Mus musculus: one gene and its partners. The protein of the gene in region 3 purifies or fractionates together with the protein of the main gene of each other region. This does not show direct contact. Links are inferred from orthologs where the notes say so. Each region holds a gene or a part of one and is shown on either strand. Other genes may lie near its edges. The genes, in order: Acly, Ccdc117, Stip1, Bag2, Dnajb6, Irak1 and Hnrnpdl.

What was found.
Region 1: the proteins of Stip1 (region 3) and Acly fractionate together in Homo sapiens (co-fractionation; 3 studies listed by BioGRID, with this or other methods). This does not show direct contact. The link is inferred for Mus musculus from reciprocal best matches to the Homo sapiens genes STIP1 and ACLY.
Region 2: the proteins of Stip1 (region 3) and Ccdc117 purify together in Homo sapiens (affinity purification with mass spectrometry; 5 studies listed by BioGRID and IntAct, counting the BioPlex papers as one, with this or other methods). This does not show direct contact. The link is inferred for Mus musculus from reciprocal best matches to the Homo sapiens genes STIP1 and CCDC117.
Region 4: the proteins of Stip1 (region 3) and Bag2 purify together in Homo sapiens (affinity purification with mass spectrometry; 3 studies listed by BioGRID and IntAct, with this or other methods). This does not show direct contact. The link is inferred for Mus musculus from reciprocal best matches to the Homo sapiens genes STIP1 and BAG2.
Region 5: the proteins of Stip1 (region 3) and Dnajb6 purify together in Homo sapiens (affinity purification with mass spectrometry; 3 studies listed by BioGRID and IntAct, with this or other methods). This does not show direct contact. The link is inferred for Mus musculus from reciprocal best matches to the Homo sapiens genes STIP1 and DNAJB6.
Region 6: the proteins of Stip1 (region 3) and Irak1 purify together in Homo sapiens (affinity purification with mass spectrometry; 3 studies listed by BioGRID and IntAct, with this or other methods). This does not show direct contact. The link is inferred for Mus musculus from reciprocal best matches to the Homo sapiens genes STIP1 and IRAK1.
Region 7: the proteins of Stip1 (region 3) and Hnrnpdl fractionate together in Homo sapiens (co-fractionation; 3 studies listed by BioGRID, with this or other methods). This does not show direct contact. The link is inferred for Mus musculus from reciprocal best matches to the Homo sapiens genes STIP1 and HNRNPDL.

What each region holds. Positions count from the first base shown.
Region 1 is NC_000077.6:100,490,001-100,493,500, reverse strand, and holds part of Acly (ATP-citrate synthase), read left to right. Parts: intron 1-885; coding exon 886-996; intron 997-3,500. UniProt on the Homo sapiens protein: Catalyzes the cleavage of citrate into oxaloacetate and acetyl-CoA, the latter serving as common substrate in multiple biochemical reactions in protein, carbohydrate and lipid metabolism.
Region 2 is NC_000077.6:5,528,387-5,532,217, reverse strand, and holds the end of Ccdc117 (coiled-coil domain-containing protein 117), read left to right. Parts: intron 1-684; coding exon 685-922; 3' UTR 923-3,331; downstream 3,332-3,831. UniProt on the Homo sapiens protein: Facilitates DNA repair, cell cycle progression, and cell proliferation through its interaction with CIAO2B.
Region 3 is NC_000085.6:7,037,227-7,041,240, forward strand, and holds the start of Stip1 (stress-induced-phosphoprotein 1), read right to left. Parts: upstream 2,801-4,014; 5' UTR 2,663-2,800; coding exon 2,654-2,662; intron 1-2,653. UniProt on the Homo sapiens protein: Acts as a co-chaperone for HSP90AA1. Mediates the association of the molecular chaperones HSPA8/HSC70 and HSP90.
Region 4 is NC_000067.6:33,754,951-33,758,981, reverse strand, and holds the start of Bag2 (BAG family molecular chaperone regulator 2), read left to right. Parts: upstream 1-1,231; 5' UTR 1,232-1,290; coding exon 1,291-1,403; intron 1,404-1,415; exon of another isoform or gene 1,416-1,577; intron 1,578-4,031. UniProt on the Homo sapiens protein: Co-chaperone for HSP70 and HSC70 chaperone proteins. Acts as a nucleotide-exchange factor (NEF) promoting the release of ADP from the HSP70 and HSC70 proteins thereby triggering client/substrate protein release.
Region 5 is NC_000071.6:29,763,398-29,766,897, forward strand, and holds part of Dnajb6 (dnaJ homolog subfamily B member 6), read left to right. Parts: intron 1-1,001; coding exon 1,002-1,133; intron 1,134-2,108; coding exon 2,109-2,250; intron 2,251-2,927; coding exon 2,928-3,033; 3' UTR 3,034-3,500. UniProt on the Homo sapiens protein: Has a stimulatory effect on the ATPase activity of HSP70 in a dose-dependent and time-dependent manner and hence acts as a co-chaperone of HSP70. Plays an indispensable role in the organization of KRT8/KRT18 filaments.
Region 6 is NC_000086.7:74,017,422-74,020,921, reverse strand, and holds part of Irak1 (interleukin-1 receptor-associated kinase 1), read left to right. Parts: intron 1-386; coding exon 387-594; intron 595-956; coding exon 957-1,022; intron 1,023-2,555; coding exon 2,556-2,792; intron 2,793-2,904; coding exon 2,905-3,021; intron 3,022-3,410; coding exon 3,411-3,500.
Region 7 is NC_000071.6:100,036,423-100,040,714, reverse strand, and holds the start of Hnrnpdl (heterogeneous nuclear ribonucleoprotein D-like), read left to right. Parts: upstream 1-1,492; 5' UTR 1,493-1,552; coding exon 1,553-1,995; intron 1,996-2,733; coding exon 2,734-2,902; intron 2,903-2,985; coding exon 2,986-3,147; intron 3,148-3,498; coding exon 3,499-3,630; intron 3,631-3,738; coding exon 3,739-3,853; intron 3,854-4,063; coding exon 4,064-4,234; intron 4,235-4,292. Other genes in the region: Enoph1 (enolase-phosphatase E1), read right to left, coding at 442-496. UniProt on the Homo sapiens protein: Acts as a transcriptional regulator. Promotes transcription repression. Promotes transcription activation in differentiated myotubes. Binds to double- and single-stranded DNA sequences. Binds to the transcription suppressor CATR sequence of the COX5B promoter.

The DNA of each region.
Region 1 (3,500 bases), on a different chromosome or scaffold from region 3:
GGTCTCCTTTTGATTATAAAGGTAGTCTGGGATTTGCATTTTTAAGAATTCAAGCACCCTGGCACTGTACACCTTAAAGCAATCGTCCTGGTGGTACAGCCGGTAAGATTCTGGGGCTGAGAGTTTGCTCTGTTGGCCGTGAGCAGCAGTGAAGGAGGAACTGTCTCCACTCGCTGGGAAAGACGGCTGGAGCAGTGAGGCCAGCTTCTTTTATAATTTTCATTTTTTTTTTTAATCTTATGTATATGTGCGGTTTTGCCTTTGTGTGTCTGCACACCACGTACACCATGTGTGCCTATGCCTCCTGCCTGCAGCAGTCAGTGAGGTGCCAGTCTCCTGGAAATGGACTCATAGATGTGTGTGATCCACCATTTGGGTGCTAGGAACTGAAGCCCAGTCCTCTAGAAGAGTAGCAAGGGCTGTTAACTGCTGGGGCATCTACCCAACCCCTGGGAGGGCCTCCTTTTTATTTATTTATTTATTTATTTATTTATTTATTTAAAGCTCCAGAAGAGTTCTATAAGCCCATTCCTTACTTGTTCTTCTGGGAGAGGCTCTAATCCTTCGTCATCACAGATTAGAAAGGGACACCCAGGCACGAACGGCCTTAAGACACTGACCGTCCCTTCGTAATTCCTTACATACCTAGGATGAATCTTTCGGGGAGAAGTTAAACTCACTACCTGTTACGTAGCCCAGGTTTGTGTCCTGATTTTGTAGCCGACTTTTATTTCATGGGGTTGTTGTGTTTTTGTGGGGCTCTTTTTTCCTTTCTGCGCATGTGTTACGTGCGCGGTTTTTCCTGTTGTAGGGCCGGTCCTAGGAAAGCTTGAAGCAGCTTCCACTAACTTGTGGGGCTTTTCTCTCCTCCCATTCCCTTTGCAGATAGGGGGCACAGAGGAATATAAGATCTGCCGGGGCATCAAGGAGGGCCGCCTCACCAAGCCAGTGGTCTGCTGGTGTATCGGGACCTGTGCCACCATGTTCTCCTCCGAGGTATGAGTGGGACCCCGGCTGTCGTTGAGTAGGGGATGAGGTTGCAGAAATGGCTGTCTGAGCTGAACCGTACTGACATCATCCCCATCAGCTGCTAATTCCCTCAGTAAACTCGTGCTGCTCACTTTGTGACTACAAAGCCAAGCCCAAGTTCTGCCTGCCAGGAATTTTATCTCACCTAGACTCTTCTGCTGCACATTCACCAGCAGGTGAAGGTCGAGATGAGACATTGAGTTCTGGCACAAGGGAGCATAAGCAGGGAGAGGATACGGCTTGGGCTTAGCCTGGAAACCTAATCTTAGGTCAGATTAGGGAAGCCCCGTGGGAGATAGCGGGGAGAGCATTGTTCTTGCTGTACTAGGGTACAGGCATGTGAGGTGAACAAATGGCTAAAGGTGCAGCCATCAGTTTGACCACCTGAGTGCGGTTCCCATCTGTAATGGGATCTGATGCTCTCCTCTGGTGTGTCTGAAGACAGCTACAGTGTACTCATATGCATAAAATAAATAAGTCTTTTAAAAACAAAACAACAAAAACCTATCCTCTGTTGGGAAGATGGCCAATCACATGACAGAAATCAAATGCAGGATAAAAATTATCTGTCAAGCTGAGTGTGGTAGCACGCCTTCAGGGCCAGCACTCAGGAGGCAGAGACAGACAGGTTTCTTTGAGTTCGAGGCCAGCCTGTTCTACACAGTGGGTTCCAGGACAGGCAGAGCTTCACAGTGAGACTCCTCTCAAGGAAACAAAACAGAGCAATTCTCTAACCAGTTCATTCATCATCAGCATGGAACAGCCTGTGGGTTTCTTGATGGTATGTGTATAGAGCAGGTTTGGCTTCTAAGTTTCTTATAGCAGTGTTGCTGCTGTGGTAGAGGGGTTAACTGAACCCTCAAATGCTGGCAAATGCTTTACATCCCTAGCCCACAGTGATGCTCTCTACCTATAAACTTAAAGTGGCTGTTGGAGTCGCACATCTCTGAAGGAATAGCTCCATTCCTGTGTATCCTACGAATAGGAACTCAAAGATGCTTCGAGGGACGTGGGTAGAACAGGCCCTGTAACATTGTAATGCCAAAAGATGGAAGTAGCCTTGTACACATCGAGCGGAGCGCATGTGTGTCTGGACTGGGAGGATATGGTCATCATATGCACCTGTGCACTGGACAGCCAGGCCAATCTGTGCGCGCGATAGAGATAGATAGTCACTACAAAAGGAACTCGAGATGCAGTTATTCTTAGGGCAGACTTTTATGCACACTTCAAGTATGATTCTTTTTATTGATTGAGTGATTGATTTATTATATGTACAGTGTTCTGTCTGCATTTATGCTTGCAAGCCAGGAGAGGGCACCAGACCTCATTATAGATGGTTGTGAGCCACCATGTGGTTGCTGGAAATTGAACTTAGTACCTCTGGAGGAACAGACAGTGCTGTTAACCTCTGAGCCAGTTCTCCAGCCCCAAGTTCAGTTTATAAACGTGAAGTGTGTGGGATTTTTTTTTTCTCCCAAGTGAGTAAAGGGGGATGGAGGATCCAGAATTCTGCCGACCTTTCAGAGGTTGCTGGCACAGGCTTTAAGGTCAGCTCTGTGCGCTGGCACCTGGCAAATCGGTACCTCCATTTCCAGAGCTGCAGAATTGGACTTTTGGATGATTTAAACAAGATAGCTGTAGCCAGGCGTGGTGGCCGAAAGTGTAATCTCAGCATTTTGGAGGCAGAGATAAGAGGATCCGGAGTTCAAGGCTAATATGAGTTACAGAGTAAAAGAGCCAAACAAAGGCTGGGGAGAAAGCTCAGCTGGTCACAACAATGAGGAACTGAGAGTCAGCCCCCAGCACACAAATAAAATCCAGATACAGTGGTACAGGCCTGAAATTCCAAAGGGGTGAGGTGAAGACTGGTTCACTGGTCAGCTAGTCTAGGTTAATCGGTGATTTCTAGGTTCGGTGAGAGATGCTGTCTCAAAAAATAAGGTAGAGAGTGATTAAGGCAAATATCCATTATCAACTCTGACCTCCATAGACATGAATGCAAGCACGCACGCACACCACAAAGCCAAAACAGAAGTGATGGCAAAGGTCTGGAACCTATGGGTAAAGTTGCTTCTCATTTGCCTTTCTCTTGGCACATTCTTCCTCCCAGGCCTTTCCTCACAAAATAATTCCACTCTTCCACTCTTCTATTTGGGGTCCTCTTTTGAATCCTGCACGAGGTTAAATGTTGGCCTTTTTAAGACTTGCCTTGGTCATGGTGTCTGCTCACAGCAGTAAAACCCTAACTAAGACACCCATCACAAGGCCAACAGCTTTATTTAATTGGGGCTGGCTTACAGGTTCAGAGGTTCAGTCCATTATCATCAAGGAGGGAGCATGGCAGCATCCAGGCAGGCACAGTGCAGGAGGAGCTGGGAGTTCTACATCTTCATCTGAAGGGTGCTAGCAGAATACTGGCCTCTTAGGCAGCTAGGATGAGGGTCTTAAAGCCCACACCCACTGTGACC
Region 2 (3,831 bases), on a different chromosome or scaffold from region 3:
GATTTGAGGGCCTGGAAACAATGCTCACTTCTTTTAGGGTTTTAGTTAGGGTTTCTGTTGCTGTGAAGAGACACCAGCCCCTACTGTAACACATGTTCATATTCCCATGGACACTCAGACACACATGCACATAAATGTGCTTTTTATTTTGCTAAGTCCATTTGAACTCTAAATATCTCTAGCTCTTTTTTAAAATGAAGCATTGGTTAACTAACAAATGCTAATCAGTATTATTCAAAGTTTAGTATATCTTCTGCTGAAGTGAACACATTTGGTTTTCTTTGGCTTTTCAAGACTGTTTGTATAGCCCTGGCTGTCCTGGAGCTCGCTCTGTAGACCAGGCTGGCCTTGAACTCACAGAGATCCATCTGCCTCTGCCTCCCGAAGGCATGAAACACCATGACCCAGCCACACTTTTAATTAAAAGATTTAAATTTCTATAATGAGAACTGATAAAAGACATCAAGATAAAATAATTCTGAAACTGGTAGTAGTTAATGGATAGGGATACACCAACAACAGACCAGCTCTTTCAGGACCACCAGCTCTTAACTGACTGAGGCGTTGGGAGTGAACAGGACCCTGTTACAGGCAGCCTAGACTGACTGAGAGACAGCAGCTTGTTACAGGTAGCCTTCATTTGCATTCCTAGAGTTTGATAAAAATCTGTATTTTACATCCCAGGAGCCGTCCTTCTATGGAGCTTGTGCTCTGGAAACCTCTCCCTGAACTCCTTCCTGAGAAGCCAAAGCCATCATCTAGCCCTAAGAACTACAGGAGAGAGAGCCAAGCAAAGCACGCAGCTCCGGGCACTGCGTTCCCACAGAGGACTGAAGGGTTGCTGGAACCTCAGTGCGCAGACGCGCCGCTTTACCGTAGTCTGGAGGCAGCTACTAGCACAGAGGAGGAGATGGAGCTCTAGACACCCGTTCTGCTCTAACTTGACAAGTCGGAGAAGGCTCCTGCGTTCAGAAATGAGCCTGCCTGCAGAGTATAGGGGCCTGAAAGTTTTATGAAACGGGTGTAATATCTCCTCTGCCTGTGACTTGGGTGGGACTGTCATTGTGGGTAGCCATTTATTGAATTCAACTTTTTGCCAAGGAAGCTTATCTCAAGGGAAATGCAGTTTTTTAATAGGCTTATCCAGGAAATGTTACAGTCTCTTTAACGACAGCTATAGATGCTGGATGTGTTCCGATGACTTAGGTCATGTCACATTGTTGAAGCCATTCATTCTTGAGATGATTCTGTACAGGAGTGCTCCTAATCGCCACTGCACCCTAATTGCTGAGTCATGTGCTGAGCTACTTGTAGTGGTCACTGTACACGTGGGGCTCGGGAGGGAAGAGAGCAGGACTTGTCTCTTGTGAAGGAATGGAACAAGCAAAGAAACTTGTGTTGGTGTCAGGTTGGTGTAGCTGGATCACCCAAGTAGTAGCCCTTGATCTCCTTTCATGACGGATAGGCTCAGTTAGTCAGGAATGTTTACACCTCAGTTAACTTCAGTGATTGACTTAAAGACTGGGAGGTATATTGCCTGTGAGAGAAATGTCTTTTCATGAATCCTAAGGACATGCTGTGTCAGCTAAACCTACAATTGATTGCTTCTAGAGTTTAAAAAGGGAAAGTTGTGCTTGTATTTGCAAGTTGAATTTTTTTAATGTTGGTTCCAAAAACAGTGAATTAGCTGAAAAGAAATGGAGAAGTGTCTTGGAGATTTACTGAAATAGCTAATTGTCAGGTGCTTAAGCTTTTGTGCAGTAAGCCTAAAAGTTAGCAGAAGATGGCCTCCTGCCAGCAGGAAATCTTTACCCTTTAGTACCCGAACCAGTCTCAAGGTGTTCTTTGGAAATAACCAGGGTTAAAGTTTTTAATTTCTCAGGAAGAGCTCTTCAGCATGGCAGGACGTGTAATGAGGGCTTTCGCAAGTCCTTCAGCGCTGCAGAGCAGTAAGCTATCCATCCAGTGAGTGTGGCGGCTCTTTCTACAGCTGAACTCCTCCTCAGTTGAGTTTTCAGTTTCTGGCTTGCTTCTCCCTTTGTATAGGGGAGAACAGAGAAGAGGTTTATGCTGAGGGGGGGTGACTTTTTAGAAACGTAGCTTCTTGGCGTTTTGCAACCCATGCTGGCCTCCCTCCTGCAGATGGCATAGGAGTCCGTCTGTCTTTGGACTGTCTCCTCTGCTGTTGTTCCTGCTCTCTCCGTTTCTGTCTAGATGTCAGGAAAAGGTTTAATGTTTAATATTTAAACAAAATATTTATATCTACACAATAAAGTTAATCAACCTTCAAACCAGTCTTGAAGCCAGCTACTTGTTTCTTCATCTCAGACTCCTAGGGGAATGAAAGCTGTCTTCTGTGAATGTGCAAGGGTTTGGCTCGTGTCATTTGAAAACTCCTGGCTTATCTAATGGGACCAGCTTGTGAAGTTTATAGCCTTAAAGAAATCTCTGTGCTAAGTTTTAGAACAGTTTAGAACCATGCAGGGATGCCGAGAGTCTGGAGTTAGCCCAGTGTTAGGGTAGGAAGGTAGTGGCAGCTTTCCAAAGGGCCTAAAACACCAGGACTGCCTCTGTGAAAGGCCCGAGTGGCTTTGATGCAGTTGGTAACCACTTGAGAGCAGAGATGTCTTAACTTGTCAGGAGTCCTTACCTGACATGACCCTGTTTCAACAGGAAAGTAGATGTTTTGTGCTCCTTTTTGGATTTTATCTTCTTGCACATGTTTGTACAGAAATCACCTTCATCCTTGTGGTGCTTACACACACCCAGTTGTCTCCACAGCTCTGATACCTTTGCCTTCTGTTCTCCTCTCTAGCATAAGACTTTGGCTTCTGCCTTAAGGTTTTCCTAAGGAATTAACAGGTCTTTTCATCTTGTATAGTTTTTACAGTGTGAATCCAACATTGGCTCAGTATGCTAATGTGACAGTCAACAGTTATCTAAAGCAGGTGAGCTCTGATGAACAAATGTATTTTCAGTGAGTCTGAGTCGGGTGTATGTGGGTTTTTTGGTTCTTGGCTTGGGGCTTTTTGTTGTTGTTGTTCTTAATAATATGAGAATCCAGTTCTCATGACAAGAACCAGTTTAAAAACTGCTCGTTCTTAAAAAGGTAAAACTAAGATTTAGAAACAAGGCAGGCCTTAGAGCCGAGGGAGACTATTAGGCAGCAGGCCAAACCACTCTGGCCCTGGAGCCGCCTTTGTTAACAGCAACAAGAATGCTGCAGTGCTACAACGTGCTGGAAGATGTGTCAGATTTGCTTTAAAGATGAGAATCTGGTGTTTCTGTACTTTATTATTTTCAATAAAACTCAATGTTTTGAACTTTTAAAGTATCTGTAATCCTGTATAAATGTAAATTAAGCATTTTTTCCTTAGCTTTAAATTTTAATTAAGGGGGCATCCTTATCAGTGGAAAACTTAAATTTGTCCCGAAAGCCTGATACTGTGGGGTTAAAGGTGAGCTGTTTCTAGACTAGGCAGGCTGCTTTGCCTTTGCTAACGTACCAATAACATTAGCAGGTCACTGCCATGGGACATGAGATGCTGACCCTGTGACTTGAGCCTTCAAAGGTGAGATGTAGAGTTGGAAGCTCAAGTTGGAGGAGTTTGAAGAGATAAGGCAGTCTATGATGTCTATGCATCCTCGTGAGGCAAGGAATTTTATCATTGGGTTACAGTTGCAGGAAAAAAAATTATTTTTAACCAAATTTTGAAAGCCCTGGGTAAAAGTAAAAGTTATCTAACATGATGGGTTGGAAACTGGGATTAGAATAGATAGATACAGCTCGGTATCTCACCTGCTAGTTAGTCCCAAGGTTCTTGCTTTGAC
Region 3 (4,014 bases):
ACAACCGGACATAAGGTACCTATGGAAAAACAGCTTCACAGCACCACCACCACCACCGCAGATTTTCCAAGACGGGTTTCTGCATAGCCCTGGCTGTCCTTGAACTCAGGGATCTGCCTGCTTCTGCCACCCAAGTGCTCGGATTAAAACTACCACAGACTCACCGCTCCCTTTTAAAGCCAAGAATAGAGTGAACATGAGTAGGATGTTACTTATGTTATTGGGATGGGCATGTAGCTCACTTGATAGCCCAAGCACCAGGTTGGACCCCAGCACCAAGCACAGTGGCATATACCTATTATTTCAGGATTTATGAGGTGGAAGAAGGAGATTGCTGTAGTGAAATTATTACAGCACCTATTATGGAATGATCATCTACTCATGATTCAGAAGACTGACATAGAATGTACTTCTTGCAAATGCGTTTAGAATCCCAAGGTACACCAATTAGAAACTTTCACAGAACAGAGGTCCCAATGCACATGTAAGCTGGCTTTTCTCTGCAATCTCAACACTTAGGAAGAGGCAGCGGACCCTATTCTCAGCAAAGGAGGATGACATGCAGGAGAGATAAAGGAACAGACAGGAAACTGCCAATATGACATTCCTTTACAGGAAGGTCAAGGGAGAAAAAGAGTACACAGTACACAAATATTCATCTTTGAGCTGGGCAGTGGTGGCAGAGGCAGGTAGAGTTCTGAGTTCAAGGCCAGTGTGGCCTACAGAGTTATTTCCAGGATAGCCAGGGCTACACAGAGAAACCCTGTCTTGAAAACAAACAAACAAACAAAAAAAAACCCCTCGTCTTTGTTTGCAGTTAGGATCTCTTTATGTAGCTATAGCTGACCTGTAACTCCACTATATAGACAAAGCTGTCTATCTGTCTGCCTCTGCCTTCCAAGTGTTGGGATTGAAGATCTGTGCCACCACACCGGGCATTAGAAATAATGTTTTGGGATTTTTTAAGACAGGGTCTCACTATACAACTCTGGTGGTCCACTTACTTACTCAGAGATCAGCCTGCCTCTGCCTCATTGAGTGCACCATCATGCCTAGCAAAATTAAATCTTAAAATATAAACTATGTGTCACTGTAGGAGTTACCTGGAATTCTACTCTTCAAATGTACAATTTTCCAGACAGGGTTTCTCTGTATAACCCTAGCTGTCCTGGAACTCTCTGTAGACCAGGCTCTCCTCAAACTCAGAAATCCACCTGCCTCTGCCTCCCAAGTGCTGGGATTAAAGGCTTACTTATGCCACCACCACCTGGCTCAAATGTACAATTTCCAATATTCAAACGCATTTGTGTATATGCTAGTGCATGGGGCAGACATTGGAAGTCAGGGTCTTCCTCCAACACTCTCCACCTTACTCTGAGACAGAATCTCAATGAATCTGGAGCTCACAGACAGGCCTGAGATGCTCGGGTCTCCCCTCCCCTCACCGATTTAGTGGGTAAAGGCAATCGGAACCCAGGCCTTCATCCTTAGACATCAAACGCTGAACCAACTGAGCCATCTCTAAGCCCAACGCTCAAATTTGTCATCTTACTGTAAGTTTGCAGTCCACAGGAACACTTGCACACTTGTATAATGGCTGGCAGGATTTTTCCCCACTGAGGAGGGTGGGGAGGATGGACGGGGTAGACCATAGCTCTAAATTCAGGCCCTGTGTTTGATCCCTAGTGCCACACAATGAATGAATGAATGATAATGAAAAACAACCTCTTTTTGTTGTAACAGAGCAAGGTGTTACTCATACCAAAAAAGCGTCTCTCTTGTCCGTACTGCAGTTACAGTTTAATTACTCCAAGGGTACAGAAAGTTGATTAACCTCTCCATTTAGTCTTATTAACAAGGTGAGAGGCCCCACGGTCCCTCACAGTGACTATTCCAGAACAAAAGGTTTTACTTTATACATCACAGTAAAAGTAGTAGTAAGCTGTGCTCTTTTTGTATGTGTGTGTTTGGATGAATCACAACGGTTCAATGACAGCTTCCAAGGTAACAAAACCTCTCCAGGCCTCAGATGCAGGCCACTGTAGCCTGAGCTAAATCACCAAGGTAAGGACGGCAGGTTTCCCTCTGTGCCCCAGATCAGATGCTGAGCGGTAGAGACAGGGACTTCTAGCTCCTCACTATCGGCTCACAACTGTCTAAAACCACTAAATCCTGTGTAATCGGGAACGGAATTTCCAAGGGTCGGATACTCAGTCACCCCACAGTCACTACGAAAAGTGGGGGGAGGGGCGACATATGTATGCCTCAGGGAGCCCTGGTGACACTGTCCGCGCCCGCCTTCTCTGCAGTCGCGCGGGTCCTTTTCCCGGGCGCACACAGATGCCGTGTACCCCGAAGGCTGCTGGGGTGATCGGTCACCGGATCCCTCCAAGTTCGCAGCGGCCGACAGGGGCCTCTCCGCGCTGAGGAGGCCCGGCCCCCAGAAGCTTCGGGGCCCGGCCGCGGCCAGGCCTGTTCCCGCTCCACTCGGCGGGTCGCGGGGGCGACGGGCGCTCGCCATTCTCCCCTCACACGCCCGACCGCGGCTCTCACGCCCGCGCCTCGGCCGCCCGACCCGGCCCCCCAACCACTCGCTTCTCCCCGCCAACAGGCCTGCGCTGCCCCGGGGCCCCGGCCGCCCCTCCCCCTTCACCTGCTCCATAGCCTGGCCCGGAACCCCGTTGAATCGAATTCGTCCGCTCCGCGTTCCCAACCGCACGCGCCGCCTTCTGGAACCTACTAGAAGCTGCCGGGACCCCCAGGTTACCGCCCCTTCCTCGCCTGCTCACTGGTTGAACACGTCCAGGAGGCTCTGCTCGCCCCTTTTATAGGCTTAAAGTTCAGTCAATCATCGTGACTTCTCTTTCATTGGTTTTTTACGGGTCTTCTCTTCAGCCCTGCCTCCTCTGCACCTCCGGATTGGACACTCCGCGGCAAGTCCCGCCTATTTCAGGGCTAGGCTAACTGAGGGAGGAGCGGGTCTTGACGACACGGATTGGTTGGTTAGTCCGTCAATTGTAGCTGGCCTGGCCGCACCCATTGGTCCTGTTCTTTCTGGAAATTTCCACAACTCTCATTGGGCTGAAGGACTCCTAGACGGAACCGCCTTTCAGAGGAAACATTCAATTGGGTGGATGGGTGGGGAAAAAAAAAAATTTGGCCATTCCTGGCGCTGATTGGTTTATGCCGCTGCCCTGTAAGGGGGTGCTCGGCTGGCTGGTGGTTCGTGGGGAGTCGAGCATCTGGCCCGGTGTCGCCTAGGCTTTAACTACAGCGTTACAAGCTGTTTTCCCTGAGTCTGAGACTGTTGGCCCGCGCTTCCTCGCATCCTGACTATTAGGCCCGGAATGTACCCAAAATATTGCGGGCTATGACGGGCCTGCGTTGAATGTTCCCAAAATGCTGCGGGCCACGACAGGCCTCCGCTTTTCCGGCAGTGTCCTGGCGGACCGGCTGCTTGGCCCTTACTCTCTGAACTCAGCTGCAAGCTTTGGTCACCATGGCCTGCCAGCAGAAATGCTACTTGGGTTGCAGGCTTAGCGTGTAGCTTATGGAACGACAGAGACTGATGATCAGGGGTCTGGACAGGATTTGTATAAGGAACGTGGGCTGTGCGGTGCCATGTCTGTGCCAGTAGCACCAATGCATACCCTCTCCATCCGGTTACCCCTTATCTGTTCACTTATGCCTACCTAGTTCTTTCTCCTGCCTCACTTAAGATCGGAGGAAATGAGCGGTGGTGGCATACAGCACGCAGGAAGCAGAGGCAGGTGTATCTCTTAAGCTAGCCTGATCTACATAGTGAGGTCCAGGACAGCCAGAGCTATCCATACCAGAACTATATAGTGAGACCCTGTCTCAAGAGAGAGGGAGAGGGAAGAGGCAGAGTGCTGAAATTACAGGTGTGAGCCAAATGTGGCAAGAGTACTTTTTGGGTGACTGGAGATAGAAACAAAGGTCTTGTCTGTGCTACACAAGCCCTCTACCCATGAGCCTCCAACCTTCTGTTTGACA
Region 4 (4,031 bases), on a different chromosome or scaffold from region 3:
CGTGTGGAGACATTTAAACAAACATATGAAGATCCCTGCCATTTTAGTTACTTTCCTACTGCTGTGATAAAACACCTCCACCAAGACAACTTGTAAAAGAAAGCATTTAATTGGACTTAGATACAGAGGGTCTGAGTCTATGATGGCTGCAGAGACATGTCCTGAGCACTCAGATCTCAAACCCAAGCAGAGGCAGAGAGACACTGGGAATAGCTTGGTCTTCTGAAACCTGCCCACGGGGAGTGATACACTTCCTTCAGCAAGGCCACACCCAGGCCTCCCCAGTGTTCAAGTGCTAGAGAGCACAGATGGCATCTCATTCAAACCACCACATCTGCCTGGCCTCGTTGCCAACCTAACAGAGCTATGTCTGCGGCCACTTTTATTTTTCCTTTGACACTTGCTGAAGCTACCCAGCCTAGCCTTGAATCCACCCTGGCCCACGTTACACAACTTGTCAGCCTCCAGAGGAGCATTAGACCTGAGACCTGCCCAAGTTCAGACTTTCAAGATGTCCACAAAATGTTCAGATTTCACGGTTGTATCGTGAGATGACAGTGTTTAATGAAGCCAAGATAATCCACCGTTTATTAGTATTAAGATGTGTTCGGGGTGTGGTGGGGACAGGATTAGAAACTGTACTTAAGGGGCTTGTCTCTGTTCAGTAATCTAATGGCTTTGAGTTCTGGGTAAAGGATGTAAATGTACTTTGTTTCCCATTTTCTGTACCCTGTACACTGAGAGGACAAAACACAACTTTAAGATGCGGCTTCGTATTTCAGACCTACTGACCTCTGCAGCTTCTGACATCTAAGCCTACTGAATATCATTCGCAGAGGGTTTAAACAAGTTATGTGTGATAGTAATAATCCTTTCATTGGAAAGGGGAGACAACACGGATCCACTTGGCTTCTCCTTATTTGGAGCCTGTGGTCTAGGCTTTCCCTGTCCTCTCCCGAGCCTGCCTGGTCACCGGACAGGTCGAACAAGTAGAGACTGCCCTAGGGTGCACTGGATTGTCTCCTCTTCTCACGGGCTGCACCCACTTCGTCCTTGCTGTGAACCGTGGGTGCTGGGAGGACCGGCCGAGGCCCTGGGCGCCGGGGCAGGGTCCCCCACCCTGGCGTGCCCGCGGCTGCGACCGCGCCTGCCCTTGTTTGGCCGCACGGCCTCGGGGGTGGAGAGCCGGGGAGGTGGGGGCGGTGCCGTCCGCGTCAGCGGCGCCCGTGGTGACGGCGACGTGCGGCTCGCGCCACTGCTGCCCGCGGACGCCGAGGACCCCCGGAGCTCATGGCCCAGGCGAAGATCAGCGCCAAGGCCCACGAGGGCCGCTTCTGCCGCTCGTCTTCCATGGCCGACCGCTCCAGCCGCCTGCTGGAGAGTCTGGACCAGCTGGAGCTCAGGTGAGGGCCGCGGGGCGCGCACAGGGGCGAGCGCGGGCGGGGGCGCGCTCCGGTTGGGCTCCCCTCCCCCGGCCCGGCAGACTGGCGAGCGAGTGCGGCTTGCAGAACTTCCAGAATCTTCTGCGCGGTCCCCCTCTGCCTTTAACTTTTCTGCTTCCAGGAGGGAGGCAGCAGGTTGGTGTGCCCCCCCCCCCCTCACCCCACACTGGAGTAAGTTTCTTTGCCCCAGATCACTTCATAGTAATACAAGTGTAAGGGAGGGGGGGGTGGTAGTATCCAGGACGGCCCCTCCTGGGGATCATCGAGAATCGGACTCATGAGAGACCGCGCGAGGTACACCGAAGTTGGATACCATCCTTCATTCTCTCAACCACGTGCAATGCCCTCTGCAGTCTGTCCGTGTTTGTTGTACATTTAGAAGACACGGCTGACACCTTGGAAGTGCCAATCGCAGGCCCGAAAACACCAAAGGCAGGAGTCACACTCTCCCTAAGATTCTGACACGGGGACAGCCTTGTCGTAAAATTTCTAACTCATGAATACTACTAACGAATGCTGTGAACACTTGGTTGGCTTTAACCACGTGAGCCTTATGTATCTGGTGGAAATGTTAATGTCTTCAAAGTTGTGCAAGTTTTGATCATGTGCAGGTGTTCCATGAAAATCTTATCAAGATGCCCTGACACACACGTTGTTCCCTAGTTTTCTCCGGGTTCTGCGTAAGCAGAACACTATGACCCAAAATTATAAGAGGGAGATGAATCTCCCTCCACGCAGCCACCAAACACAGGGAAGTGTGTCTGCACAGGAAAAAAAAAATGCAAGCAGTGTTCGTTACACGGGAGGCGCTCATTACTGTTACTATTAGGAGAAAAGAGCCAGAAGGTGAGAAAACTTTCACTGACTGTGGAGTAGCCACAAAAGAAACCTGAACCCTATATCCCCCAACTCCGGGAGACAAAGGGACCTGCGCTGTGAAAGGGGGCGAGAATGTTTCCTTGTGCGAGGTAGGCTCTAACCTTTGACAGTATATTCCCAACTGCTCCGATTTTTTTTCTTGAAAGGGTTCAGGAAGTTGTGACTCTTCAAGCTGAGTCATTGTTCTGAACCTTTACTTAATCAAGCCTGTGTGCCGAGTCCTTGCTCTTCTCCTGGGGGCCTCTTGAAAGTCTGGAGTTTGCATAGACATTCTAGTGTCTGATTACTATCAAAGGAATCCTGACTACCAAACATAAGCGATTAAATTACGTTACTTATTAACAGTTGCGCTGAAGGGGTTTTATTTCTGTGTTTAATGGTTCAAGGCCTTTACCAGTAACTGCAGAGTTCTGTAAGTCTTGTTTCTCCCTTAAAAATGTAATGAGCACTTAGAAGTAAGTGTGTCAGAAGGGGCAAAGAAATAGAAAGAGATGCTGCCTGGTAAGGCTTAGGGGCCCTTTTTAGAAGCCATCTGGACAGTGCCACAGAGCATGACAGTATTCAAAATTAGACTTTTTAAAAATGGGGACGATGCTCCTGTGACTTCCCCCTAGCTTTCTTAGTGTACACGTCTGAGGACAACAGTGGACGGGGTACTACCGGAAATCACTGGATTGTCGCCAGTGCGCATCTTCCATTCAGGTGAATGGGTTCTGTGAACAGCAAAAGCCTGCTCCCTTGTAAGACTGAAACCACACCCAAGGCTTTCTGTCCTGCAGGATGCACTGATCTTCCGGGCATTGAAAATGCTTTTAAATGTTTAGCCCAGTTTTACAAGCTGGTAAAGGGTGCCATTGGTTTTTAATGGCTTATAATATTACAATTAAAAACATTTTTACATTAAAATATCCTTACATTAAAAAAAATTTTTTTTTTACTACATCTCCTTTCCTGTGGTGCTTTCTCTAAAAAGATAATCCTGTCCTTTCCTGATTTTCATGACCAGTTCTATGGGGACTCTGCACATGCTGAGGCTAAATACTGTACTTTTCAGTGGTTGTAAATAATCCACGTTAGCATTAGTCTGTAGGCTAGGCCGCGTGTCTCTGTGGGAGTTACCGTTATCTGTATTGTACAGATGAGAACTTGAAGCTCAGATATATACAGTGTGTCTCAGTCCAGAGCAGTGGACTTCGCCTAGGAACACGGGGAGACCGGCTGCTCAGACCAACACCATTTGTCCTGGTCTTGAATATCACTTTTCAAACTGTCCAGCTGATATATGAATGAATATGATTTTACTAAAGGAGGGGAAAATCGATTTAGCATTTGATTCAGTAAACCTTGAAGACCTAGAACGTGCCAGTTATCGAGTAGCTGCTCCGGGCCTGGGGTTTGGACATTGGCCAAGGAGGGATAAATGATTGACAGGGCTGGAAGGCTGGCTCTTTACACATCTCCCAAAACCGATCCCGCCCGCAGTGAGCAGCTCCTTTCCAGTTCACTCAGCCAGGAAAGGGTGACTGCCAGCGGGAGCCAGGGAAACGGGCCACCCGCCTGCTTTGGTTTCTTACTGTTTAAGGTTCCTGTTCGGATGCGCCAGTGTTCCAGGACCCACGAAGCAAGTTGACACCATACTTAATTTGGAGTAACAGTCTGTAATTTAGAAGGAACACTTTTCGTGTACACTGTAATTTCAACCACTGTAAT
Region 5 (3,500 bases), on a different chromosome or scaffold from region 3:
GGAGGCCAGAAGAGGATGTTGGGTTCCCTGGAACTGGAGTTGAGATGGTTGTCAGCCTCTATGTGGGTGTCGCTCCATGATAGCAACACTTACTTTTAACTTCTGAGTCAACTCCATCCCTATCTTGAGAGTTTTGAGCCATCAAATTGAATTGATATGAGAAAGGAATTATTGGGTCATAATCATCAGGCTCACCAGCAGTTATATTCACCTGTTGCTGTTTTGGAAATTTTGTAGACCAGGCTTGTCTCAGATTCAGAGATCTGTCTGTCTGAGTTGGGATATAAAGGTGTGGGGTACCATGCTGGACTCTGCTCCTCCTCTCTGTACAAGTGTCTAAGGTTGGAGGCTGGAGAGATGGCTCGTTAGTACTACCCTTGCAGAAGATCCCCTTCCAGAACTCAAGTCGGGCATCTTACAAGTACTTTTCTTTAACTTCAGCTTCTGGGTGATCTGATGAGTCTGGCCTCTGTGTACCTGTGTGCACATGCCCCTAAGCTGCACCTAACTATGCATAAAAGAATGAAAAGTTGGAAAACAGCAACAAAGCTGTCCTAAGATGGAAACCATCTTTTTTTGTTTTTCAAGACCGGGTATCCCTGGCTATCCTGGAACTTGCTCTGTAGATCAGGCTGGCCTTGAACTCAGAGATCCGCCTGCATTTAGGAGTGCTGGGATTGTGGGCTTGTGCCACACAATGCTGGGCTGAAACTGTCTTTTCTAATGAAACTAATTGTGTACTGAGCTTTGTTGAACAGCCCTCTGAAGGCTTGATGAGGTATCTGTAGATACACCGTTCCCATTAGGCACCTGTCTGGTCTTTTGCACTCAGCTTTACTTGAATGGTACCAGTAAGTGAACGTGCTCCAGAGTGCTAAGAGCTGTTGGGTGTTTGTGCCTAACAGACCCACGTGTTTTAAGGCATTAACCCATTTTTCTTCCTCTATGGAAAAAAAACCTTAAATATTTTCATAATGCATTTTTTAAAAATCTGTTTCTAGAAGACCCATTTGATGACTTTTTTGGAAACCGAAGGGGTCCCCGAGGAAATAGAAGCCGAGGTGCCGGCTCATTTTTCTCTACCTTCAGTGGATTTCCTTCTTTTGGAAGTGGATTTCCTGCTTTTGATACAGGTATTAAAGCGTTTCTTTTGATCTATCTTTTAGCTAGTATAGTTTAAAGTTTGTATGGGACAGGGCAGGTAAGTTTCTCTTTGGTTGGAAATCTGTTTCCTGTTTTGAGGTGGGTAGTGTAGACAGATTCTTCTTCACAGCTCTGTGTGAAAGACTAATCCTACCACACTGGATGCCAGGTTTGAGCCCAGTTATAACGTTATAACGGGTTTGTAAAGGCATCTTGTCAAAAGTCATAGCCACTAATTGTGGGTATTTGTGGGTGTGTTGTTAGTTGCCCCTGCATTAAGGTGCTCATAAGGTGTGGCCAAAATGTGAAATAGACTCAGGGCTCTCAGAATCTGTATATGAGAAAGCAGGACTTCATTTCCATCTTTAATATAATTCTGTTGTTAAGTGTATGGGCACAGGCATGCCATTGTGTGTTTGGAGGCCAGAGAAAAGTTTCTTATAGGTGGTCTTCTTCAACATGGCTTCTAGGGGTGGAACTAAGGTCATCAGGGTTTAATGGCAAACGCCCCCCCCCCACCCCCCCAACACACACACATACGAGCACACACGCACTTCCTCTTGGGAAAAGGTTGCTAATAGACTAGAGCAGTGATTTCTGGGTACGGTCTTGGCTGTTGACTAGCATGTCTCACTCTGGAGATTAGGATGGTCTTGAGACCTCATCATCCCACATGCTTGCATTAATTTAAAAGCACGTGCCACATTAGGACCTTGGAAAGTTGTTCTCTGGGGCAGCTTTTGGGAGAAAAATTAAAAATAACAGGTATTTGTACATTGTTGTTGTGTGTTGTAGGTACTTGTCTGCTGTGTAGGTAGAACATCATTTAGGCTGGAACTAGTTAGTACCTCACCCACTTTCAGCTCACTCAGCTCCCTTTGAGGCTCACAAATTTGGAATAAGGTAATTTTTGTGTGAATATTAAACTTTGTAGCTTTTAACTGTACTTTTCTGTTTCTTTATAGGCTTCACTCCATTTGGGTCACTAGGTCATGGGGGTCTCACTTCATTTTCTTCAACGTCATTTGGCGGCAGTGGAATGGGCAACTTCAAATCAATATCAACTTCAACTAAGATAGTTAATGGCAAAAAAATCACGACAAAGAGGTATCTCTCTCTCTGTTTTTTTTTCTTTTCTTTTTTAAAAAAGATTTATTTATTATATGTAAGTACACTGTAGCTGTCTTCAGCAACACCAGAAGAGGGCATCAGATCTCATTATGGATGGTTGTGAGCCACCATGTGATTGCTGGCTTTTGAACTCAGGATCTCCGGAAGAGCAGTCAGCGCACTTAACCGCTGAGCCATCTCACCATCCCGTGTGCTTAATTTCTAAATCAGCCAAAGCCGTAAAGCTTTTTGCTTTGAATATTTGCTTAATTTTTCCTTTGATGCATATCACTGTGTGGTCATTTGTCATGAGAATCCCTGGCATTGTCAGTGTCGAAAAATGAAAGTGGCTGTTTGAGCAGGAAAACCTTAATGGCAGAGTTGGGCTGCGACCACTTAGCCATACTCCAGCCCCACTCTTACTCTTTGTGGTTTATAACATCTCCTGTATTTGATAGTATTTGAGTCCACATTTACTTTTGGCAGGATTGGAATTTTAGGAAGAACTCTTGAGCTTAGTTTTCATGGATCTGTTATGTAAATCACAAATATTATATATATATATTATATATTTGTACTTCTAAGGACTGAGCTCAGGACCATAAGTTTGTTAGTAAAACTCTTGCTAAACATCCCGATTGAACAGAGGTTTCTAAATGGGTCATTTCTTACAGGATTGTGGAGAACGGTCAAGAAAGAGTAGAAGTTGAAGAAGATGGGCAGTTAAAGTCCTTGACAATAAATGGTAAGGAGCACCTGCTACGCTTGGATAACAAGTAACTCAACGCACGCATTTAACAGAAATGTTAAACCATAACAAGCACCATTTGAGGAATAACAGGAACTTTTTTTTTGAAGATTTGAAACGAACTCGACTTTCTGTATAACTGTACCTAAACTAAAGTATTTATAAAAAAGCTCATTGGAGCCTCCATCTATCAGATTTTTGAGTTTGTTGTTGGGACCACAAAATAGGACCTTATTTTCTATTTCTTTTGTCCTTAAAATTGTTGTAATCTCTGTATGCACTTTGCTTTAAACCAATCGTAATCTGAGGTGAGCCCTGTGACTTTTGAGTAGTGCTAGGAAGAGACTGTCTGTAACACCAGCATGGATCTGCTTCCCATTGTGGTGAATTGTGAGTGAGTAGTGTCAGCCTGCTGTGGACTTAACATTGCCAGATGAATCTACAGAAATACTTCAATTTTATTTTCAGTATTTAGTGATGAAAGCTATTACTGCATCAA
Region 6 (3,500 bases), on a different chromosome or scaffold from region 3:
CTATAGAAAGTCATATGGCCAGGGAGACAGTGACCCTCTGCTCAATGAACAGCTCTGTTCTGAGTGTCCCTGTGATATTCTTCCTGCCCAGTCCTGTGAATATGGGAACAGGTGTTGCCTGGGACCTCAGAGCTGAGAGTACTTAGGGCTATGAGTACCCCTGCATGGTGCAAGTATACAAATAAAGCCACGGTGGTGAGCAGAAGCCAAACAATGTGAAGGGGCTCAGGGACTGCGGGCCCTCAGACAGCTGGGATGCAATGCAGCCACTTTCCATAAGCAGTACGCCTCTAGTCCAGTTTATCAGGACCATTTGGGTGTAGGGGACAGAAAAACAGAAAGGTAGTAGGACCTGAACTGGTGCCATTCTTCCGTTTGTTTCCAAGTTCTAACGTGCTTCTGGATGAGAGACTGATGCCCAAGCTGGGAGACTTTGGCCTGGCTCGTTTCAGCCGCTTTGCGGGGGCCAAAGCAAGCCAGAGCAGTACTGTGGCCCGGACTTCCACAGTTCGAGGTACCCTCGCCTACTTGCCTGAGGAGTACATCAAGACAGGCCGACTGGCTGTGGACACCGATACCTTCAGCTTTGGGGTGGTGAGCCACCAGCCCTTCTGTTGGCTTGGGGAGGGAAAAGCACCAGTAAGTAAAGTCAGGAAAGCCTAGAGAATTCTAGGCCTAAGGCAGAGGTGAGCCTAGTGGGGAGCTAGCATAGCTTTGGCCTTAGGGATCACCCTGCCTCATACACCTCCCTCTTCCCTTGCACTAAATTGTGGTCATAATTTGCATCCTTTTGCTTAAGCTTGCATCCCATAACAATGCTGCCCTTGCTGGGAGGTGGTCTGTACCTGCCTGTTCCGGGACTACTTTCCCACTAGTCCTGATCCATGCCCATGCTACAAGCCTCTTCTACACACAATTTCTCCCTGCTAAAGTGATGTTGTCTATCCCCCCTCTAGGTAATACTGGAGACCCTTGCTGGTCAGAGGGCTGTGAGGACACAAGGTGCAAAGACCAAGTATTTGGTGAGCCTCCTAAGGTGGAGCATGGAGGGAGGGAGGGGCAGCTGCAGCCAGTGGGTACAGCCCCAGAGGGTGGGATGGTACAGATCCTTTACATTGCCCCACAATAGCCTGCTACTGCTGCTGCTGACTCATCTTTAAAAGTGGGTGAGTCCCAAGCAGTTTCTTTTACCTTGCACGGAAGAACCTATCTTTAGTTTGTACCTAGACCTTGAGGATAGGGATGTAATCTCAGTGGTAGAACCTTATTGCATGCAAGGCCCTGGGTCCTATCCCCATCAAAGGGGAAAAAGAACTTTGACAGGTTCCCCCTCTGCCTTGGACTGGGGATAGAGAGGGGGCTATTCCAGATACCCCGGGGACCAAACCTTCAGTGGAACTTAGAGCAGGGCTGAGTAAAGGCAGTAGGAAGTAGGCAGGCTGTTAAAGTAGCAGCTCCAAGCCATCCTGACCCCTACATTCCTGTCTACCTTGCTGTACACTGAGATAGGGCTAAGGAATAAGAGACCTAAAGCTTAGCATCTGAGTACATGGTTTTGGTTCCAACATTCAAAAATCTGAGGCAGGAGGATTGCCAGGAGTTGGAGGCCAGCTGGGGCTATATAACAAGACCTTCTATCAAAAACAACAACAACAAAATTAGTTGATTATGGTGGCATGTACACTTAGGAGGTAGAAGCAGGGGGGTCAGAAATTTAAAGTTATCCTCAGTAATATAGTAAGTTCAAGACCAGAGTAAGTTACATGGTTCACTGTCTCAAACATACAAAGAAGCTGGGCAGTGCCAGCACATGTCTTTAATCCCAGCACTTGGGAGGCAGAGGCAGGCGGATTTCCGAGTTTTGGCCAGCCTGGTCTACAGAGTGAGTTCCAGGGCAGCCAGAGCTACACAGAGAAACCCTGTCTTTTTTGTTTTTTGTTTTTTGTTTTTTTTAAAAACAAAAAACAAAAAAAGACAAGAGACCTGGGTTTTAGTCCCATCAACACAGTGGTCATGGGTCAAATTCTTGCTCTTCATTGAGCTTCAGTTTCCCATATAGAAAACAGACTTTAACACAGGAACACTATTCCAGCAATTCCTAGGCCCAGAACATGCTTGGCTAATGCTGGGTCGTCACCTTTTACAGAGTTACATCTCCCATTGCTTCTCCAGGATGAAGCCTATTTTTGTCCACTGTTGGGCCCAGTGGGGGATTTAACCAACCCAACAAACTGAACCAGATTCTACCCATCCCTCCTTCCTTTACTGCGTCCATTAGCACATCCCAGCTCAAGTACTGGTTGTTCAGACCCCACGGACCTTGCTAACAGACTAGTAGGTTTGTTGGCATCTGTTTCCCCCACTGCAATGGGATGTCAGGACTGTAAAACACGGCCCAGAGTGTTTGATTTGTGGCTGTTATCAGTAGAGCCCCAGACAGCACTAGGCACACAGTGGTGTTTAATGAACCTAGGGAAAGAAGACCAGAGGACTGAGTGGCAGTGGCCTGGAAGTTTTGGTGGAACCATGCTGAACTGACAGTATTTGTTTTACAGAAAGACCTGATTGAAGATGAGGCTGAAGAGGCTGGAGTGACCCTGAAAAGCACCCAGCCTACTCTGTGGGTGGGTGTAGCCACGGATGCTTGGGCTGCTCCAATTGCTGCCCAGATCTATAAGAAGCACCTGGACTCCAGACCTGGGCCCTGCCCACCCCAGTTGGGCCTGGCCCTGGCTCAACTAGCTTGCTGCTGCATGCACCGTCGGGCCAAGAAGAGGCCCCCCATGACCCAGGTAGCCCTGGGGAGGCCAGTTAACCATGGGGACATAGTGGCCAGCAAGAAAACTTTCGTACTTGCCCTGCTTGATAGCAATAGCTACAAAGTACCTACCTGATCTCTTACAGAGGCAAAACTCCCAACATTCCTTGCTTGCCCTTTGGCTCTATTTGGGGAGGTGCTCTGTGGAACTAAGTGGTAAAGGGCTGCTGCTTTGCTGGATGAGCCTCAGATCCCAGGAACAGGTAGAAGGAAAGGGCTCTGATCATGCCCCTAAGTGGGGGTGCTGTGCCACTCACTACCTTTGTCTTTTTGTCTTACCTTCCACCTCTTCTGGTGATGGTTAAGAATAGAGTTCCTGGCTTTGGTGGCCATGAATCTCAATAGTTCTTGGGATGAGACAAAGGAACAAAGGGCAATGTTTTCTCAGCTGCAGAGTGCACCAGCTTTGTGTTATCTGTCATTCTGTTGGCTGTATGGGGCCTGTGGTATTAACCTGAACATAGGCAAGTCTAGGCCAACCTGAAGCAGCAGAGTAGCTGTGTGGTTTGACCACAGGGTGTCAGATCTAGGCTGCCTTGCCCAGCCAGGAACCCATGCTCTGCCCATCCTGAGAGCCTCTCTCTCCACACAGGTATACAAGAGACTAGAAGGGCTTCAGGCAGGGCCTCCCTGGGAGCTAGAGGTTGCCGGCCATGGCTCCCCTTCCCCACAGGAGAACTCC
Region 7 (4,292 bases), on a different chromosome or scaffold from region 3:
TGGGAAGGCCTAAACCTCAAGGACCACTAAGTCAAGGCCACCACCTCTGCGGGCCGCAACCTTCAGCACATGGGGGACGCTCATCCACCGGGCGACACACCTACCTGCCAGGCCGTGGGAGCTCCAATCACCCCAACTCCTCCCAGCTGACCTGCCCCTCCCCAAGCCGTTGCTGAGACCATCTCCACTTCTTCCTATCCTTCTCCACCTAACCGAAAGCAAGGACAGGGGAGAAGATGGTGGCGCGAGGAAAAGCACCCCCGCAAACCGCCGCAGCTTCTCTTCCCCATTCCAGAGACATAAAGCCACACCGCCTCTCCTGAGCCTCCCAGGCAAAATCTCCAACACTTAAAATTTCCCTTTCAGATGCTTTTAGGCACAAGTAACTTCCCCGCTCCCTTCCGCCCCTCACCTTCACGAAAGCAATCGGGGTTGTGGTACCTTCGATATCTAACAGGATTACGGTGACTTCGGCGGGCACGGAAACCACGACCATTTCCCTGCCGGATGCTACCACGGGCTCGGCCTTGGTTAAGGAGGGCAACACCGCCTGCGCGTCTTGAGCTCCCGAGGGCCCAGCAACAACCGAGGCGCTGGCGACAGCGAACGACCAGGGGCTCAGAGACAGAGCTGGGACCCGCAGTTGCAGAGGAAGCCGCCTAGGGTACTACACCCGACGAGCAGGCGAGCCGCGCAGGCCCGGACCACGTGGGCAGCCGGAGGGGCGGGGCTCCGGGATTCAAAGGGGGGGGGTGGAGGAAACAAGGAGCGCGTGCCTATTGGCCGCCGGCGAGCCGCGAACCCGTCGGTCAAAATAGGCCTCGCGTGGGCGGGAACAAAGAAGCGAGCACCCAAGCCTGGAGCCTGGAGCCCGAGCGCGGGCACCAGCCCTCCGCAGCCTGCTGGAGCCTGCGCGGGAGGCCCGGGGCTCGTGCAGACGGGAGTCCCTTGAGTGGCGCGCCCGGGACGTGAGTGCCCCTTGTCTTCCCCGGCACCTGACCCCTTCCCCGCCCACCGCGTGCACCTTGGCACAGCTTCAGTCATCCGAGCAGGCCCCGCCCTCCGCCGCGGCCTCAGCCAGCCTCGGAGAACGAACGCACGGAACCCGGGCTGCAGAGAGAGATCCTGCAGCCACGGCCCCTGAGCCGACACCGCCCCGAGGCGACGGCGGAAAAGCCGTCCCCGCCAGGACGGAGGCGGTCATCGCGCACAGGCTTTCTGCTCGGCTGGTTGCAGCCGGCGCGAGGACAAAACACGCGTGCGCCGGGAGGGCGGGCGAGCGAGCGGGCGGACGGGCGCGCTGCAGCTTCAGCAAGCGGCGCGGGGTGCACGCCGCCCTTTTGCCGGAGTGGCCGCCGCTGCAGCAGCAGCAGCAGCTCTGCACTAGGGGACTGAGGGCGCAGCAAGGGACTGAGCCGAACTGGACGCGCGACGCCAACGGCTCTCAAGGCAAGAGGGACTGTGGCCCTGCCACGGCGCCGCTCGCGATTCCCGGTCCCGCACGGCTGACTCTCCCCGCGGCGCGACCTCGCTCCTCATCCGGAGCGCGGCGATGGAGGTCCCGCCCCGGCTCTCCCATGTGCCGCCGCCATTGTTCCCCTCCGCTCCCGCTACTTTAGCCTCCCGCGGCCTCTCCCATTGGCGGCCACGGGCTCCCCGGCAGCTCGCCCCGCTCCTCCCTTCGCTCGCTTCCAGCGCCTCCCGCCAGGGGGCGCGCCGGAGCCCGCGCCACGTCACCGCCCAGCAGCCCTCCCGATTGGCGGGCGGGGCGGCTATAAAGGGAGGGCGCAGGCGGCGGCCGGATCTCTTCCGCCGCCATTTTAAATCTAGCTCCATACAACGCTCCGCCGCCGCTGCCGCCGGGACCCGGACTGCGCGCCAGCACCCCCTCGCCGACGGCTCCGCCACCATGGAGGACATGAATGAGTACAGCAACATAGAGGAGTTCGCAGAGGGATCCAAGATCAACGCGAGCAAGAACCAGCAGGATGACGGGTACCGCACGCTCCGCTCCTCCCCTCCCCCAGAGCCCCGCGCGCGCCCTTCGTCCCTCCGGAGCCGCGCGCGCTGCCCCCAGTCTTTCCCCGAGTCGATTCTCCGCGTGCCCGCTGGACCCCAGTAGCCTTCCCCACTAGTGGAAAGTAAGATGGGGTGACTCGAGAGGCCCGCCGCGGGTGGGGGAAGGGAGGAGGGGTTGGGGAAGGAGAGAGGCGCCGTCGGTGTCCCGAGTGCGCAGGCGCCGCGTGGGGCCCGGGAGGGGGGAGGGGCCGGGTTCTGTGCGCCACTTGCTGCAGCTGCTGCTGCCGCTGCCGCCTCTTCATTGTGTGTGTTGGCCGCTCGCGAATTTTCCTGGGTTAGGTTTGGGAAACTTTTGGTTGGGGCACCAGTAGACGACTGGCACTAAAAGTTTCCTAGGTAGCAAAGTTGGCTTTAAGGCTGTGGGCAAGAGTCTACGTAAGTTGCGGGGGAATCGGTGTAAAAGTTGTGCTCTGCAATCCAAAGCAAGCAGGGCAGGACATCTACCAGATTCTAATGGCTTTTTTTTTTTTTCTAAGTTTTGAGTTCGCGTGGTACAAAGCAACGTGCCAGCTGGCTTGAACAAGTGGTTAAGATTTTTGTGGTCTAATGTTAGTGTTTGTAGTCAAAACAGATTGCGTCTGGAGAGTAAGTTGCCCTGTATTTAATCACTAAGTTACTGTTAAGCTTATTTTTCTTAAATAACTTTATTTCTAGTAAAATGTTTATTGGAGGCTTGAGCTGGGATACAAGCAAGAAAGATCTGACTGAATATTTGTCTCGATTTGGGGAAGTGGTAGACTGCACAATTAAAACAGACCCAGTCACGGGAAGATCAAGAGGATTTGGATTTGTGCTTTTCAAAGATGCTGCTAGTGTGGATAAGGTAGGGCTGTGTTTTGCATTGAGTCTACTGCGTTGCTTGCAAGTTGCTCTAGGCTTTTAAGTCCAAACTGCCTTGTCTTCCAGGTTTTGGAACTGAAAGAACACAAACTGGATGGCAAATTGATAGACCCCAAAAGGGCCAAAGCTTTAAAGGGGAAAGAACCCCCTAAAAAGGTCTTTGTGGGTGGATTGAGCCCAGATACTTCAGAAGAACAAATTAAAGAATATTTTGGAGCCTTTGGAGAGGTGGGCTGTGTTTGTGTATGTATGTGTGTCTGTGCTCGTGTTTGGTCAAGTCTGGGGGGGTTCATTAATATTTCACCGGATGGGACTGAATTCTCTTGCTTCGTCTTCACTGCTGCTTTCTATGTTGTAGTGGAAACCAGTATCTAATCTTACTTAGCCAAAGCCCCAAAGGTGTAAAGTGTTTCACCAATTGGTGGCCTCTGGGGTGTAAGGTACTATAAAAAGATAAAACACAACTTTTTAGAACATGGTGGTCAGTAGATGTGTCTGGTGTTTGTGAAGAGCCTGTGGCATTATATAATCTTTATTAACTGGTGGGTTTGTTTGTTTTGTCTGTGCACCTGATTTCAGATAGAAAATATTGAGCTTCCCATGGATACAAAAACAAATGAAAGAAGAGGATTCTGTTTTATCACATACACAGACGAAGAGCCAGTAAAGAAACTGTTAGAAAGCAGATACCATCAAATAGGTTCTGGGAAGGTAAATCCCTTAACAACTTAGAGGATTGTGTGTGTGAAGTCAGTGTGAAGAGAAACTTGTTCTATGTTCAGAACTTGGAACATCTGCAAATTTTCTGTTTATTTACAGTGCGAAATCAAAGTTGCGCAACCCAAAGAGGTGTACAGGCAGCAGCAGCAACAACAGAAAGGAGGCAGAGGGGCTGCAGCCGGCGGAAGAGGAGGTGCTAGGGGGCGTGGAAGAGGTGAGACCTCCTTGGGCGAGTGAGCGGTACACTGAAGCAGTGAGCTGCTAGGGACCTGACCTGTAGGGAAACACAGCTAGAGTGAAACTAAAGAGCTGACTTGGGGGGGGGGGGTTGAAGCCACAGTGTAGGGGACAGGAATGGATCAGCTTGTGGTAGGATTGGGACAGTCCCAAGTTGTTTCCTAACCTTCGTTGTGCATTGTTTCAGGTCAGGGCCAAAACTGGAACCAAGGATTTAATAACTATTATGATCAAGGATATGGAAATTATAATAGTGCCTATGGTGGTGATCAGAACTATAGTGGCTATGGCGGCTATGATTATACTGGGTATAACTATGGGAACTATGGATATGGACAGGGATATGCAGACTACAGCGGTAAGAACACTTAACTCAATTGTGAAGTACTTTCCCATTCTGAACTTGTGTGTATGGG